3 linked regions of the Caenorhabditis elegans genome follow. The protein of the gene in region 3 interacts with the protein of the main gene of each other region in a pairwise test. Each region holds a gene or a part of one and is shown on either strand. Other genes may lie near its edges.

What was found. Proteins that work in one complex are often made in the same cells at the same time.
Region 1: the proteins of sdz-18 (region 3) and cah-3 interact in a two-hybrid assay, tested with the Caenorhabditis elegans proteins (one large-scale study listed by BioGRID).
Region 2: the proteins of sdz-18 (region 3) and cogc-1 interact in a two-hybrid assay, tested with the Caenorhabditis elegans proteins (one large-scale study listed by BioGRID).

What each region holds. Positions count from the first base shown.
Region 1 is NC_003284.9:16,484,881-16,490,219, reverse strand, and holds cah-3 (Putative carbonic anhydrase 3), read right to left. Parts: upstream 2,740-5,339; 5' UTR 2,687-2,739; coding exon 2,647-2,686; intron 2,163-2,646; coding exon 2,016-2,162; intron 1,970-2,015; coding exon 1,615-1,969; intron 1,308-1,614; coding exon 1,109-1,307; 3' UTR 823-1,108; downstream 1-822. UniProt on the Caenorhabditis elegans protein: Reversible hydration of carbon dioxide.
Region 2 is NC_003279.8:3,230,947-3,236,712, forward strand, and holds the start of cogc-1 (Conserved oligomeric Golgi complex subunit 1), read left to right. Parts: upstream 1-2,444; coding exon 2,445-2,512; intron 2,513-3,422; coding exon 3,423-3,587; intron 3,588-4,301; coding exon 4,302-4,381; intron 4,382-4,561; coding exon 4,562-4,647; intron 4,648-5,766. Other genes in the region: txl-1 (Thioredoxin-like protein), read left to right, coding at 665-1,163, 2,035-2,139.
Region 3 is NC_003280.10:1,703,752-1,708,566, forward strand, and holds sdz-18 (BTB domain-containing protein), read right to left. Parts: upstream 2,735-4,815; 5' UTR 2,726-2,734; coding exon 2,613-2,725; intron 2,107-2,612; coding exon 1,716-2,106; intron 1,665-1,715; coding exon 1,517-1,664; intron 1,468-1,516; coding exon 1,316-1,467; intron 1,269-1,315; coding exon 1,239-1,268; 3' UTR 1,155-1,238; downstream 1-1,154.

The DNA.
Region 1 (5,339 bases), on a different chromosome or scaffold from region 3:
TGGGGCATCACGTTGTGTCAAAGTGTCCCATTTTGGTTTGTTCTACGTAGATCTTCGAGAAATGCTGGAAAAGAGACGCAGACTTCTCGACTGATTTTGCATGGTTAAGAGCGTGCTGATGTCACATTTTTTGGGCAAAAAATTCCCGCAATTTTTGTAGATCAAACCGTAATGGAACAGTCTGGCACCACGTAATGCATTTCATATGTGGTTTTTGTGTTTTTTTAAACTGTTTTTGGCATGTAAACGCTGAAAAATTGTTAAGTTCTTAAAAAACAGTTTAATAAAACGTTAACCTCTGAACTAAATTCTTCACAGATTTGAAAAAAATAGAAATTTGTTTCGTAAAAAATATGAATTCAACGTAGTTTTTATACATTTCCTCAAACAATGGTTTTCAAATGTGATAGTTTCGACACCTTACTGAAAAGCTTCACTGTGTTAAAAAATTATTTTTGGCAAAACGGACGCTTTTATACGCCGAGACGCAGTGGTTTGATCTGAGCAGCAAAAACAAAAATTCAGCCTTTTCTCATCATCCGTTATTTAAAAGCGAAATGTTGCAACATTTTAATATTTTATTTTGAAATACCCTTTTTTCTCTGTAACTTGTTTGTTTTTTTCCACAGAAAAAAAGCCTGCAAAATGAAAAAGTGACAAAAAACTAATTAAACCCCTCCCTGAAAAAACCGATAACACATCTTTCCAAAATTCCATTTCGTTCCGTCACCCCTTGAGCTCATACGACCCTATTTTGCACAACACAACTACTTCCTCTTCGTGACGTCACACCCCACACTTTTTATTGAAAAATTGATGAACAAAAAATTCTAAAAATTTATTCAATGTTGTTAACAAAGTTGGAATTGTAGGTGGAGTGGGAACCCATGGGTTTCGTGTCAGAGTAACTAGAATATTGCAATGATTTGGCAGAAATTGCGAATTACTACATAAGAAAAATAGACATCGGGCTGGCTTGAAGTGTTGAAATCAGAGGAAAACGGGGATTTTTGACAAAAGTTGCTTGGGACCATGAAGTTTTTGTTTGGCATTTTTGTATCGGTATTAAATTTGAAAAATGAAAAAAAAACTTTTTTCTGGGAAAATTCTAATTAGCTACAATGTGAACGATTTTGCGATCATTCAAATTTTGAGTCGGACGGTAGTTTTTCTTGATGGGACGCTTCTCGATGTCCTGGACCTGACGGAACAACTCAAGTTGATCGTGGGTGACGGTGACTGGCTCGGTGAAGATGGTCCAGGTGACGATTTCCGAGCATGGCGGGGTGGTGAGAGATCCTTCGTATCTGAAAATCAAACAATGAATGCGACTGGAAATATGTTTGTTAGATCGTCTGAAATATTATGCTATTGCACCTGCATAAACTGTTCAGGCACTGACTTCAAATGTGACTATGAATCAGGAGTAATTGAAAAGTGTGAGATTTGAGCATTTGATCTCTGGCTTCATTATATATTTCAGGTTGGATAAACTATGTTGAGATCAAATAATCATATTAATAGCTGACATCAGTCACGCAAAACCTTTAAAAGGTTTCCCTGTTCCGATTCAATTTAGTATAAGAATATTCAGCTAAGATTCCTTGATCTTACCTCCAGAACGACCTCTTGTTTGCTGGCAGCTTCTCGGAAAGCCTAACATTCTCCACACGAGTCACTGTCTCCGGATTGCAAAGTTTTCCCAAAACACGCTCCTCATTCGACAACGCCTTTCCCTCTTTTCCAAGTTGAAGAAAAACACCAACAACGGCTAGCTTGCCGGGGTCTTCAACTCCCTGGTGGACGAGATGAAGCTCGGCCGGATAGCGGAGCCCACCCAGCGTGTGCTCGGATCCCTCGTTGTCATTCTCTCCCCAATGGAAGTGGTATTGCACGAGGCGGTAGACCTGATCAAGGCCGCCGCCGTAGATTTCTGGGTGTTCCGATCGCAGCTCCGGGGTCATTTGAACTGGAATAAGTAAAGTTAAGCTGAGTTATTTTGAAAAATTAGTTACCAGAATGTCCATTGTTCACAATATCTCCTTGAATAGGATGATCATAATTGACAAACTTGATTCCATCATGGGTATCCTTACGTTCAACCTCTCCCAAATCAATGTTGATTGGGGATTGATGCTGTCCAGTGGGCCAGCGATTGGGTCCTGGAATTAAATTTAATACCATTTGTTATTAATACAATACTTTTTTCGAGAAATAACTCAATCGTTATGTTTTTCTTTGCACGTGGTGTCAGACTGTCTCGTTGCGGTTTGATCTATAAAAAATGCGGGAGTTTTTCCGCCAGGAAAGTGTGACGTCAGCACACTCTTAACCATGCAAAATCAGTTGAAAAGTCTGCATCCGTTCTCCCGCATTTTTCGAAGATCAAACCAATATTGGGCACTCTGAAACCACGTGTTTTTGCGAATTTGGACATTCTAATACTTCTCAGTTTCACAGAGTTATTACTGAACTGAAAATGTTTATATGTAGCAGTCCATGTTATAGGGTGAAATTATCAATATAATTTAATTTTTGATCATTTATTCCTTTTACTGAGTAGATAAATGCTACTGAGCATAACTAATTTTCGAGACACTCAGTTAAGTTTTGAGTTCAAAAAACAGCTAATTTGAGTCAACTTACCACACTCATCATCATCGCAGTAGCTCCAGTGCCCTGTCATCTTTGTTGGAGACACTCTCTTTGATGTGGAGCAGAAAATGTGATAAGAGAGTTCTGCAATTTGAGATTCAATTTTATTAGCAAAAACGTGGAAAAGGGCAAAGAAAGATAAGACTTCCGGTTCAAACCACAATTTTCCACATTTTTTTTTCAAGTATTTCAACTCAAGAGTGTCACTGAAAATTGAAAAAAAAAGAAGAACATTTGGGAAAGGAATAAAAAGAGTGGAGGCATGCCGAAATAGGCGGGGCCTGGTGGGTACTGCTGAAGATAAAATTGAATAAGAAAGCTGAAGGATGGAAATGAAAATATTGTGTAGAGACGCTTCTTCTTTTTTTGTGCTGGTTTTCTACTTCCTAGTTGCTTAGCTCTCTACACTTCACAACGAAAATTTCGAAGAGTTTTGTTTTGTATATTTTGTGGACAAATATGTAGGAGCAAAATAGTTGGAAAAAATACGAACGAAATTTTTTGACAAGCCTCTGGAAAAGCGACGCATCTTCTTCGTCTCCAGCTGAAGATGACATCGTCTGTGTGTAGCTCTGTGTTGTGGAACGACGGGAAAGATGTTGTTTTGTTATTGCCCACGATGCCGTCCAGAAGATGATCAATGCTTTTTTAGGAGACGCGGGAAGCTAAGAGGTCCTTGTCCCCTCTTTTTCCGTCTTTCTCGAGTACCTAAGAATCATGAACTAAGCTTTAAACTTAAAAATAAGAACTTTTGTGCTTGTGCTTTTTAAGTCATGGAGGAAATTGTTTCATGACGATTTTTGGTAAAATTTTTTTTGTAGTAATTGAGTACAGATATAATTTTATTTTTTTAAAAACGGGTAAACAGTTTCATCGCCTAAAGATTTGCAATTTTTTTTCAAAAAGTTATCTTTTTTTTAAGCATATGATCAAAATTTGGAGCTACTTTACGAGCTTTGAACACTGCGAAAATGTAAATTAAAATTATTTCTCATCAAAATTTAGAGTCAGTTATGGCTGGTTAAATTTTTTGTGATAACCTAGTTCATTTTGGGCATTAAAACTGAAAATGTATTCTCTCAAAGTTTAGAAAATAACTTTGTATTTTTAAATATCAAAAACCAAAAATTTCAGCTTCTCAAAATTTTTTTCATTTTGCCAGCTAATTTCAAAACTTGATTTTTCAAGTTCATACAACAATTTCCTCATTGACACCTACCTACATTCACAACACATTTACAAAACACAACTCAAACCACTGCACCTGCATGCAATTTCTCAGGAAAAGCTGCTCGGGAAAACTTGAAAATTCTCACGACTACTGCTCAACATGAAGTGCAAAATGATGAGTGTTAGAAAAAAAGAAGACTGGTGGAAAAAAGAAGATGACGTCCTAGGAGCAGTTTTGAGTAAAATGGAGTGAAAAGTAGAAATACCTAGGGTTTTTGTCTCCTCTTATTCTTCTTCGCGCTTTTTTTCTCACTTTGAAACCAAACAAAGAAGGGTTCTAGGAATGTGAGTGGGTAGGGGAAGGAGGGAGAAAATGCGGAGTTAGGTTTAGAGTAAGAAATTATTAATATTTCTTAGAAAATATTGAAGCTCTGAAAACATCAACGATTTTCAATAATTGTTGGACATATAGTTTGAGTCTAAAACCGCAAAAATGTATCAGAATCATACAGTGCGTACAAGTTCTATACGCCACCCCCTAAATTTATGCATGTGGGCACGTCTGAATTTTTTAGAAGAATTCTGCTGATGCCATTTGATTCCAAATCCTAAAAAACCTATGAGCCTGAGTTTTCATGACCGTACCTCAAAAACTAAATAAATTAGGTCTCACATGAAAGTTCAAGACTGGAAAATTCTAAAAAGAGAAATGTTCATTTTCTCAAACATCAATGAGAAGCTTGATCAGCAAACATGGAAATTGAAGAAATTTGACCCTCCAAAAAAATCCTGATTCCCACTTAATGTTCAAACTTTAAGAATCGAAAAACAAGCGAAAATCAAGCAAATTCTATTGCAACTCGAAGTATTCAACTATTTTATAGCCCGACACGTGGTTCGGAGATTATCGAGTTTAGTGGTGAGAGGAGTCAGAAGCCGTGAGAGAGAGAAAGAGCTTTTCATATATCTTTTGATCTCGGAAATTGATGGAAGAGGAACACGGAACACTGGAATGCACGTTGGAATTTATGGAAATTTTTTGGAAAAGTTGTGACATTGTGGCATATGCATATTTAAATTTTTGGATAATCTCAAGTACTCAACAAATTGGGATTTCGATTGAAATAACCTGAAAACATTTTTTGCTCTTTTTTCAGCTTTTACGTATTTTTTGCGAGTGAGCCAAAATTGAACAGATGTTCACAAAACTGACACTTAATTATATTAAAACCCTTGTTAAAAATTACTTTCTATTTGAAACCCCAAACTATATCTTTTTTCAGAGATGTCTTGAATACAAGTTCAAAGACTTATTTTCCCTTATCAGATTATCCTAAATTATATATTACATATATTTTCTCTTGAGGGGGTGTCTAAAAAGTGATCTCCCATCAAGTGCTTCTTTGTCATTTTTATTCTCTTCATATTTTTATTCTCTTCTCTGTGCCATTTCCGCATGCTCCATCCTTTTGTCGCTGACTTCTTCTTCTTTTTTATTTTCTTGCTCTTCTTGC
Region 2 (5,766 bases), on a different chromosome or scaffold from region 3:
TAAATTACCAAAATAAGGATTAAACGGTGATAATTCCAGAAAAACTAAAATCCAGCGGCTGTGACAAAGAAAAGTGTGCGAAATTTCAGATTTTAGCAAAATTTGGCTCTTTTTTTTTAAATTTTGACCAGCCATAAAAAATTTTTGGAAATTTTTTGTGAAGTCTCATTATGAAATTCGGTGGTTTTGGACCAGTTTTAGTCTATTTAAGCAAAATACCCACAAACTCTACAGAGGTGGGCGGATATTTTTTTCGGATATTTTCTAATAATGAATTTATCAATAAGTATTGATGTAGTTATTCAGGAAGAAATGTATCCGAACAAAAAAGTAACTATTAAGCAACATTCTAATATGATAAAACCTAGAAAAATTCTACAAGTTTTCTGTATAAACGATATGCAAGTCCATTATCCGATATCCGTAATATCCGATATCCGATGTTGCTCGGCTAATAAGTTTTAAGGTCTCGGTAAGGAAAACTTGTAGAATTTTTCTAGATTTTATCATATTAAAATGTTGCTTAATAGTTACTCTTTGATTTGGTTACATTTCTTCCAGAATAACTACATCAATACTTATTGATAAATTCATTATTAGAAAATATCCGAAAAAAATATCCGCCCACCTCAGAAACTCTACTCCCCAAAATAAAAATTTGCAGAGTCCGCGTGGAACAAATGAAAGGAGCCGATGCAAAAGCACTGGAAACAATGGTGAAAAAGTACGCAGACAACTCGGCAGCCGACTCACTGGTTGCTGGTCAAATGGACTTGACACCTCTTGTCGATAAGAAACAAATGGAATGTTTGAATGAATCTGATGATACTCCACTGGGACGTTTTCTCGAAGGAAACTGCAATCTGGTTTCAGATTGTGATGAGCAATTGATCATCTCACTTCCATTTAATCAACCAGTCAAAGTTCATTCAATTCTTATTAAAGGAGTATCGGATCGTGCTCCAAAGAAGGTCAAAGTGTTCATTAATCTTCCGAAAACTACGGATTTCGATAATGCAACAGCTCTGGAGCCAACTCAAATGTTGGAATTTGATGAATCTTCTATTCAAGGGCACGGACAAGTCGTCGCGTTGAAATATGTCAAGTTCCAGAATGTTCAGAATATTCAATTTTTCATTGAGAATAATGTCGGTGGAGGAGATGTAAGTTTCGATAAAAATTACTTTGAAAACATTTAAATTTACTAAAATTTTACCCAAAACTATTGATTATGCTTTTATTTATTTATTTAATAAACGTATTAAATAAATAAAGAAAGATAATTAAAGATTTTCAGTAAAATCACGAAAACTCGCTTTATTAATGAACGAATTTCGTGAAGAAACTTCTCAGACATTATTGAAAAAAAAAAATTGAAATTTAGCTAAAATTAGCAAATTTTTTTTCGAAATTTTAAACCGCCATTTAAAAAATATTGAAAAATTGTTTTTAATATAAAATGTATTCCGGCGAAATTTCGGATTTTAACAATATTTTGGTTTTTTTTCCGATATTATTTTAGTTTTTGAGCTGCAAAACAATTTTTCGGATTTTTTTTGGAAGTCTCATTATGAAAATCGCCGATTTTCTGTAAATATTAATTTTCGGAAAACTGCCGATTTGCCAATTTGCCAGAAATTTTTAAATCTGACAATTTGCCGATTCGTCGTAAATTTTCATTTTCGGCAAATTGCCGATTTGCCGGAAATTTTTAGAGGGATTATTTATAAGACGGAAAAACTTAAAACTATGCCTTTTTGAAATTTTTTCCCCATTTTCTTTAGATATTTTCATAGAATTTGCCTACTTTTCAAAATAAATGTAGAAATATTCATAGGATGCGTACAATTTTGCCGATTGAAATTTAAATTCTGAAATTTCCAAAAAAAAAAATTTGCAAAACCGCAATTTGCCGTTTTTCCGGCAAATTCGACATTTGCCAATTTGCCGGAAAAATCGTTTGCCGCCCACCCCTGGTTCAGAGCAAAATTATTATAATTTTCCAATTTCCTCCAATTTTTTCCTTTTTTCCAGGTCACTGAGCTCGTCAAGCTTACAGTCTTCGGAACACCTCTGTCTGCTCTCAACATGAACGAATTCAAAAGAGTCGCCGGAAAAGCTGGAGATGCAGCTCATTGAGCCCATCAATCCTTCTTCCTATCAACTGATTGTGAGCCAACGAGTTATCCAATTCATTTCTCTAATTGTCATGTACCAAAAACCATACTTTCGCTGATCCCAGTTTCCATATTTTCCTTATTTATTTCTCGATTTGTGTATCATTTTTATTTTAATTTTAATTTTAAATTTAAATTTATTTTTTTTTCTCAGCATAAACACATTTCTCCAAGCTATCCTATTCAATTTTTAACTCGAAAAATGTTTCATTTCATCTAGATATTTCTAATTTAATTTAAAAAAAAGAAAAAATCTGAAATTTTCAGATGGACGTTGACCGGCTCATGCGTGACCTATCGGTCGAGCAACTGGAGAATATTCAGCAGAATTTGGAGTAAGAGAAGCGGGAATTCGAGAAAATTCGAAACAAAAGCTTCTCCTCGTGGAGTACACGAGGGCTGCGTAAATCGACACGTGGATGTGTTGAAGAAATTTTTGTAAAATGAGGAATCGGAAAAATTTGCTGAAAAAAATTAATTTTTTAAAACAAAAATTAATTGAAAATTAGAAATTTTTAATGTTTTCTGGTGAAAATTGGCTGAAAAAGTATTTTTTTTTCTCACAAAATTTTATTTAAAAAATAGAAATTTCAATTTTTTTCGCGAGAAAAATATTTGCAAATTGAAATTTCAAAAAGTTCAGAAAAATCAACAATTTCCAAAAAAAAAGTGATAATTTTCAATAAAGGGCTATAATCTTCGAAAAAGCTAAGAAAAAAGCAAAACTAAGAAATTTTAATGTTTTCTCGGGAAAATTGGCTGAAAATAAGATTTTTCGGGATTTTTTAAACAGAGTGTTATTTAAAAAATAGAAAATTCAATTTTTTCATGAGAAACAATTTTTTTTTAAATTTTCACATCAAAATTTCAAAATATTCATTTAAAATTGAAGTGCAAAAAGCGTATAATGTTTCCAAAAAAAGGTATTATTTCCAAAAAAAAAATCAAAATCGCTGATTTTCAGAAACTAATTTTTTATAAAGTCGAAAAATCGGTAAATTCCAAAAAAAAAACACGATAATCTCCAAAAAAATCCTTAGTTTTCAAAAAAAACAGTGATAATTTCCAATAAAATGCTATAATTTTCAAAAAAAAAACGATAGGTTTCAGAAAATTCAATAATATATTGAGAAAGTCAAAAAATCGTAAAAATTCCACAATTTCCAGCAAAGAAAGCTATAAGTTTAAAAAAACGATAATTTTCAGAAAAATCGATAATTTTCGAAAAAAAAACATTTTTTTCAGAAAAGAAATGGAAGGAAAACGAGAAAGTCTCCGTGAAATGGTCGGCCGTCGGTATCGAGATGTTCTAGAAGCTTCTTCAGAAGTTCGTCACGTGTGCTCTTTGGCTGATAAATTGGCCTCAGATATTGCAAATACAAGAGTTGGATATCAATCCACTCATGTTAGGTTGGAAATATTTCGCAAAATTTGAGTAAAAACTCGGAAAAAATACGGCAAAAAATTCTATTCAAAAAATTGGAAAAAATTGAATTTTTCCAAATTTTTAAAATGGTTTTTTTGAGAAAATTTCGCAAAAAAAACTAATTAGGAAAATTTAATTTAATTTTTCATTTTCAGACATTTTACCCCGAAAAAAATTGCTGAGACCCTAAAATTTGTCTAAAAATCGATTTTCTAGCAAAAAATTAGACTTTTGCGGAAAATATTTAATGCTAAATTATCGATTTTCAGACAAATTTTAAATTTTCAGCCGTTTTTTTAACAGAAAAAAAATGACTGAAAACACGAAAAATATGTTTAAAAGCAAATAATAATAATAATAATAATAAATTAATAAAAACCAATAAATATAGCCGAAAAAACGCTCAAATGCCGAAATTAGATTGCGCGGGAATTCAAAAACCATTAATAAACAAAATTCTTCAATTCCAGAATTATTTTCAATTTTAAGATCCGAAAATCGTTAGAAAAATATATATTCTACTTCGAAAAAAAAAATCAAAAGTTATAAATCAAAAACTCAATTTATTCGGATTTGTTTTCAAATTTTTAACCTAGATAAATTCAAATATTTATCACATTTTTGCACGGTTTTCCAAACAATTCTGTAAATTTCAGAGCAAAAAATTTGAAAAAAAAAATAAAATTTTGAATTTCCAGAACCGGAGGACGAGAGGAACAGAAAGCGGGAGAACATCTCTATGCGGTGAACTATTTGGTTTCAAGTATTGGAGGAGATAGTATGGGCTTTTTTTTTTGAAATTAAAAATTGATTTCAACTTAATTAATTCAAAAATGTCAGCGAATTTTAGCGATTTTTACTGAAAAAATTTTTAAAATCATGAAAATTGAGTAGTTTTACCCGTAAAACAAATTGAAATGCTATCAAATTTCATTTTTAAAAAATGTATTTTTTCCAGGCGGTGAGCCACTGGACGATGTAGTTGCTCTTTGCATGGTGGAGCATCTTCAGAAGCAGCTCATCAGTAATCATTCGTCGCCAATGGTCAGTTTAAATAAATATTGTTGGTAGCTGCGCTAAAAAATTGGATTTTGAAATTTTCGAAAAAAAAAACAATTTAAAAAAATCTTAAAATTAATTTTGGTCAGATTTTTTCTAGATATTTTTGACAGTAAATTGTTGAACAATTGGGAGAAATTTCAGGTTTTTCGAGGAGAACCGAAAAATGGAAATTTATTTTTTTTAACTTAAAAAATAAATTTTTTTCCCGATTTTTTGAAGAAATTCATATGTTTTTGTACTTTATTTTAATAGAAATGAGCACGATTTGATGAAAAATCTAGGGCTTCCATCCCGGCGCCTTCGCCGGCCGGTGAGGCGCCTCAAACAGCCTCACGTCGCCACTATCGCCGTCATTGAAAAAAAAACGTAAAATTTTATTTTCATTTCTTGTTTTTTTTCTAAAATTTCAACAAATTATTAAAAATGAAAATATAGAATTCACGTCAAAATTTTTTAAAGCGGCGAAGGCGAAAGCCGGCCGGCGTGATGCCGGCGTGAGGCGCCGACGCCGCGCCGCTCTCACATGGAAGCCTTAGAAAAATCGAAAAAATATTTCATTTTTTCGATATTTTTCAACTAAAATCGAAACATCCGAAAAGAATTTATCAGAAAATTAACTATAAAATTCGATTTTTTATCTCATTTTGTTTATATTATTGAGAAAAAACTTCCAAAAAGAAGAAAGTGATCACAATTTTAAGCTGATTTTTGACAAATCGAAAAAAATCGAAAAACGAACATTTTTTGCTTTCCAGAAATCGAAAAATCGAAGAAATATTGTTTTTCAATTTTATTTGTCAAAAAATCGAAAAACTGACACCTTTACATACAAGTTTACATACAAGTTTACATACTTTACATACATACAGGCATTTTTCGATTTTTTCGCGTTTTTCGCGTTTTCCGCTTTTTCGGTGTTTTTCATGCAAAATAGAAAAATCGAAAAATCTGAAAAAAAATTGTTTCAGAAATTTAACCATAAAATACGATTTTTTAAAAAATCTAATTTTGCTTATATTGATAAGAAAAAACATAAAAAAATGTTCTAAAAAGAAGAATAATGGCCAAAATATTAAGCTAATTTTTGAATAATCGAAAATT
Region 3 (4,815 bases):
TTTCCTGAAAACAGGACACTTTCAGGCACTATTTGAGGTTCGTGTCGAGTTTCTCAATCAGAATAATTTTTATTTTAATTTGATCAAGTATTTAACTACATTTCTGTACCAATTCTTCACTTAAAAAATTGGATTATTACTCTGAAATGAGCAGCTTTGTTTGTTTGCCGAACTCAGTTGTCGCGCAGCTCTGGATAGCACCTGTTTCCAAAAGGCTGCTCTCATTCTGTCAATGCACCGGCAATTTTTAGTCTGTATCAGTTCCGAGGCACTCAGAAACGACCTGCAAAAGTCTTGTGATAAGGAGAGGTATAATGAAAATATAGTCAAGTATTTGAGCTTCAAAACCTGAAATTCGCTATGGCAAGTTTAATGGAATATTCAATGCTTCTCAGAAGTTAAAAAACTATTATTGGTTGAAAACGATTACAGTTATTCAAAAGAAATATATTCCGAATTATGAACAGCAACTGAAAACTCTGAATAGTTAAAACGATGTTCTAAAACTATAGTTACTTTGATGCTGTGAGCCAAGTAGATATTGTGGAAGAACACGATAACAATCCTCCTATCAGGCATGCCTATCTTCCTTCTTCATTTACTTCCACGGCGGCCCGCCCTTAAGTGCAGGGGCCCACATGCCACTGTGGTGTGTCGCCCTACTGCTCCGCTCCCGACGTTTATGTTACCCCACTTCCTATATTACTCTTCTTATGTATTGCACATATCCTATTGTATATAAACATCATATGTATAATCACAAGGAAGTCCAGATTGGTATATAGGGATAATTATGGTGACAACTTCTCGCGCCTATAAAATTTGATAGAACTTTCTAAATATAGCTAAAGCACACAGGTTTTATTCACAATTTTCTAGAGAACATAAAATTATGTTAAACTTTGAAAATATCAACCTGTGCGACACGGCAGACCCGCTGAAGCAAGGCAAAACATTTGTCGTTGGCACGCTAGTTGCAGATATTTTGCTTTCTCAGGTCCTTTCTAGCTTCTCCTGCGGATAAGATAAGTTTTAATACACATTTCGAGATGTAGTCACATTTTTTTCGCAAAAAAAATCCTGCATTTTTTGTAGATCAGACCGTAATGGGACAGCCTAAATATCACCACGTGCAAATATGAGAAATTAAATACGATATTTTCATTTATTCAGGTTCAAAAATTAAATTTAACAAAAAAAATTCCAATGGGATTTAGAAACAATAGAACTGTAGAATGTCAATTTCCTAGTTCAGCGTAGTAGTTTCTCTGAAAAAATTGAATACTTTTCGTTGTATGTTACCAAAAAACAATACCATAAAGTTCTCCATTTTGTACCTAAAAGCCATCTGCAACTTCTTCTTCGCCGGCAACTTTGTCCCTTTAATCAAAAACTCCTCACACTTTCGAACGACCATCGGTGTGTCATACATGTCTGCAATATGAAGAATGCCCTCCACGGTTAGATCTAAAAATGTTTATTTTATTTTAGGTCAATTCGAATGTTTTTTGTTCACCATTAATAGCTGAATCCCCGTAGAGAACTTCCAGGAAGAACTGAAAGTCATTAGGATCGATGCTAGTGAGGGTGACTTCGGAGCTCTTCCCTTCTTCGAAGGAGCCAAGAAGAAGAGCCTTGAAGTACTTGGACTGGGCAGCGAGGTACTGAAATTTTTAAAATGTATCAGCTTGTACAACTGAAGAAAAAAGCCTCACTTTTCTGAGAACATAAAACTTCTTCTCCCCAACCAGAAGAACCACGTCGGAAAACTCTTCCATTGATTCGTCGAAGCTTCGGAGGTTATACGGTCTTTCGAATCCAGTCATGGATTTGATTGTCACAAAAACTTCAATCATGAGAGCATCATCAACTACGTAATTTGTCATCATTCTGCCCCAAGGCATTATGGTCGACCGCAATACTTCACTGATGAGGCTGGGTGATTTGGCTATTTTGCACTCGCATTCTACTGATTTCCACATTCCAGTTAACGGCATTAGTTCGACCCTGATATCAGCTACAATTGACCAATTGGTAGTTTTTCCAGTCATTGGACAATACAATCCGAAACTCATGAATCCGTTATCCCGTTTGATCCGCATGTACCTGAAACACACAAAGGTTAGAGAGTAGAGTAGATCTTTAAAGGTGGAGTAGCTCCAGTGAGGAAATTGTTAAAAACCGCTCCTTTGGCCCCAAAATGACCAAATATCATGATAACACTTTTCAAAAATTTTTTGAAAATATTTTATTAACTGTCAAAAAGTGGCAATTACTCTGTTTTTGCCACTCATAATTTTGGAAGTCAACCAAAAAATATTTTTTTTCGACATTTTTTATGTTTAATTTTGTTTAAAATGTTTGTACTAAAACATTGTAGGGGTCGAAACATGCAACATTGCTTTAGATTTCCTCAAAAACTCGTATTTTTAAAAATTTTGCCAATTTGCCAAAACTTTGACCGGAAATTATGAAAAATCTAAAATTTTTTGGACTGTTTTATTATGATATTCGGTTGTTTTGTATTATTATAAGTGCATTTAGACAAAATCCGCACTGGCGCTACTCCAGCTTTAATATGAAAATCTGAACGAAAATATTGAATCACTTACCACTCAGTACCATAATGAATTTCCGATGGGGTGACGTGCTCACCTCCGTCTGCGATGCTCGAGACATTTTTGACGGATTGGGTGATCACGAATTGTTTGGTCAGAGAGGACATAGTAATTCAGTTGCAAGAAAAAACAATGAAATAAATGAATCCAACAATGATTCGGTTCGCTAGAGGCGCTATTTGGATAGAATCGATCCAATTTGCGGTAGCAGGGCAGCGTCGATGTCTCTGGTTTCTCACATCATAATTTTCTCAGATAGCGCGTTGGGACCATTCTCAGCCTCTTCATTTTATCGCAATATTTGATTTTCTCCATTTATCCAGTTAATTATCTAGAAAAATGAGTTCTTTCTCGAAAGAATTTGTGATGACTCAAAAAGTGAAAAATATTTCCACTTTGAAAAAGAAGAAGTCCGTCTAACTCCAGAAGAGCAGTATTTTGGATTCCCCTGGTTAGTTTAGTGGCTCTGTCGGGTTACTGTAGGGTTTCCGAAATATCCTTTACACTTTACCACAGTTCTCCAACTCACCAACTTCCAGGAGGATCAAGCTTGCGCGCGAAGGAACCCAACTACATGTATTCTTCAGTTTTCTAGCCTCACGTACAACTGACCAATCTGTACACATACAATTCAGTACCAAGTTGATGAGACCCACTGGTGAAAGCATATCGCAAAGCTCAGAAGTTTGCTTGCTGGGCGGCGAGAGACAGAAATACGGCTTCGGATTTTGTTTTCCATGGGAGAAATTGGTGAAGGAGCTTGTAGTTGAGGATTGTTTGGTTGTTGAAGTTTGCGCGCACATCCTCGACACTAGTGGGTTCGAGAAGAAGGAGAAGCTCCGCAACTTTGATGAATCTATGAAGGAGTTTTCGGATGTTGTGCTGGTGGTGAAGGATGTTAAGTTTTACGTGCTTAAAACGGTGAGTCAAGTCTACTTTAGGCTCTGACTTTAGACTATTTTCAGTACCTCGCTGCCCAGTCCAACTACTTCAAAGCCCTGCTTCTTGGCGACTTCGAAGAAGGAAAAAGCCTCGAAGTCACTCTCAACTCTATCGATCCCAACGACTTCCAGAACTTCTTAGAAGTTCTCTACGGCCACCACCAGGCTATCACAGTTTTGATTTTTAGCCTAGACGAACTTCATTCGCGAACGTCAACGTGATTATTTTTCCAGATGAAACAGTGGGAGGAGTTCTCCACATTGTGGATATGTACGATTCGAAGATGGTCACCAAGAACTGCGAGGATTTCTTGATCAGAACAGGAGGTTCTAAGATGACGCTGAAGAAGAAAATGCAGATGGCTGACCGATATCAGTTGGAGAACTTGAAGGTTTGGTTGAAAGTTTGAGTGAAGTTAGTTGAACTGAGATTTTCAGAGAACATGCTACAACAACCTGGAAGTTTGAGCTACACAATTGAATTTCTCGTTCTTTACTACATATGTATAACAAAGCAACGCGTAATTATAATACTTTTTTTTAAAAATAAACATAATGTCTCTGACAATATTCATATTTGGATGCCTCGCTACTTCTGCTCTAATTTATTTTTTAGGGCACTATATGCCGGAAGTCGTATCTTTTTGCTAAATTTAGTAAGAATAGTTAAAACCATAAGTATATAATAAAATAAAATGGTCACATTATCAGTTCAAAAGCCAGATTTGATTACAAGTTCAAATACGAAGACTAGCAAATTTTAAATTTTGTTGAATTTTTTTAAAAATTGTAACTCCCCATTTCACACTGACGAGTTTATTTCTTTAATTTTTCACGCATACAATTTATATTTGGGTTATGTTCACATCAGCATCTTCGGAAATCTGGCACCGTAAGCAAAAAACTTTCACGTGTCCGCTACAACAATCGAGAGCCGATCACAGCGGATCACAACGACACGGCCGGAACTCTCTGGATGTTCCTACACGTCGTGGCATAAGACCTGCCTGATATGTGGAAGTCTCATTTGCATGTAATTTGCATGCCAGTCCACAAAATTTGCATGTAATTTGCTAATAAAAGACCAGAAACTGCACCAGATCCCTCACACTTCTCGCAAAATGAGAAGCCTTGTGGTTTTTGTGTCTGTCGTGGCCATGATTTTCTTTGCCGAACACGGTTGTTCAGATTCTTGCACGTGTCCGGATATCCGAAGTATTTTTTATACGTGGAGTGAGTTGGATTTTGTTTGGTTT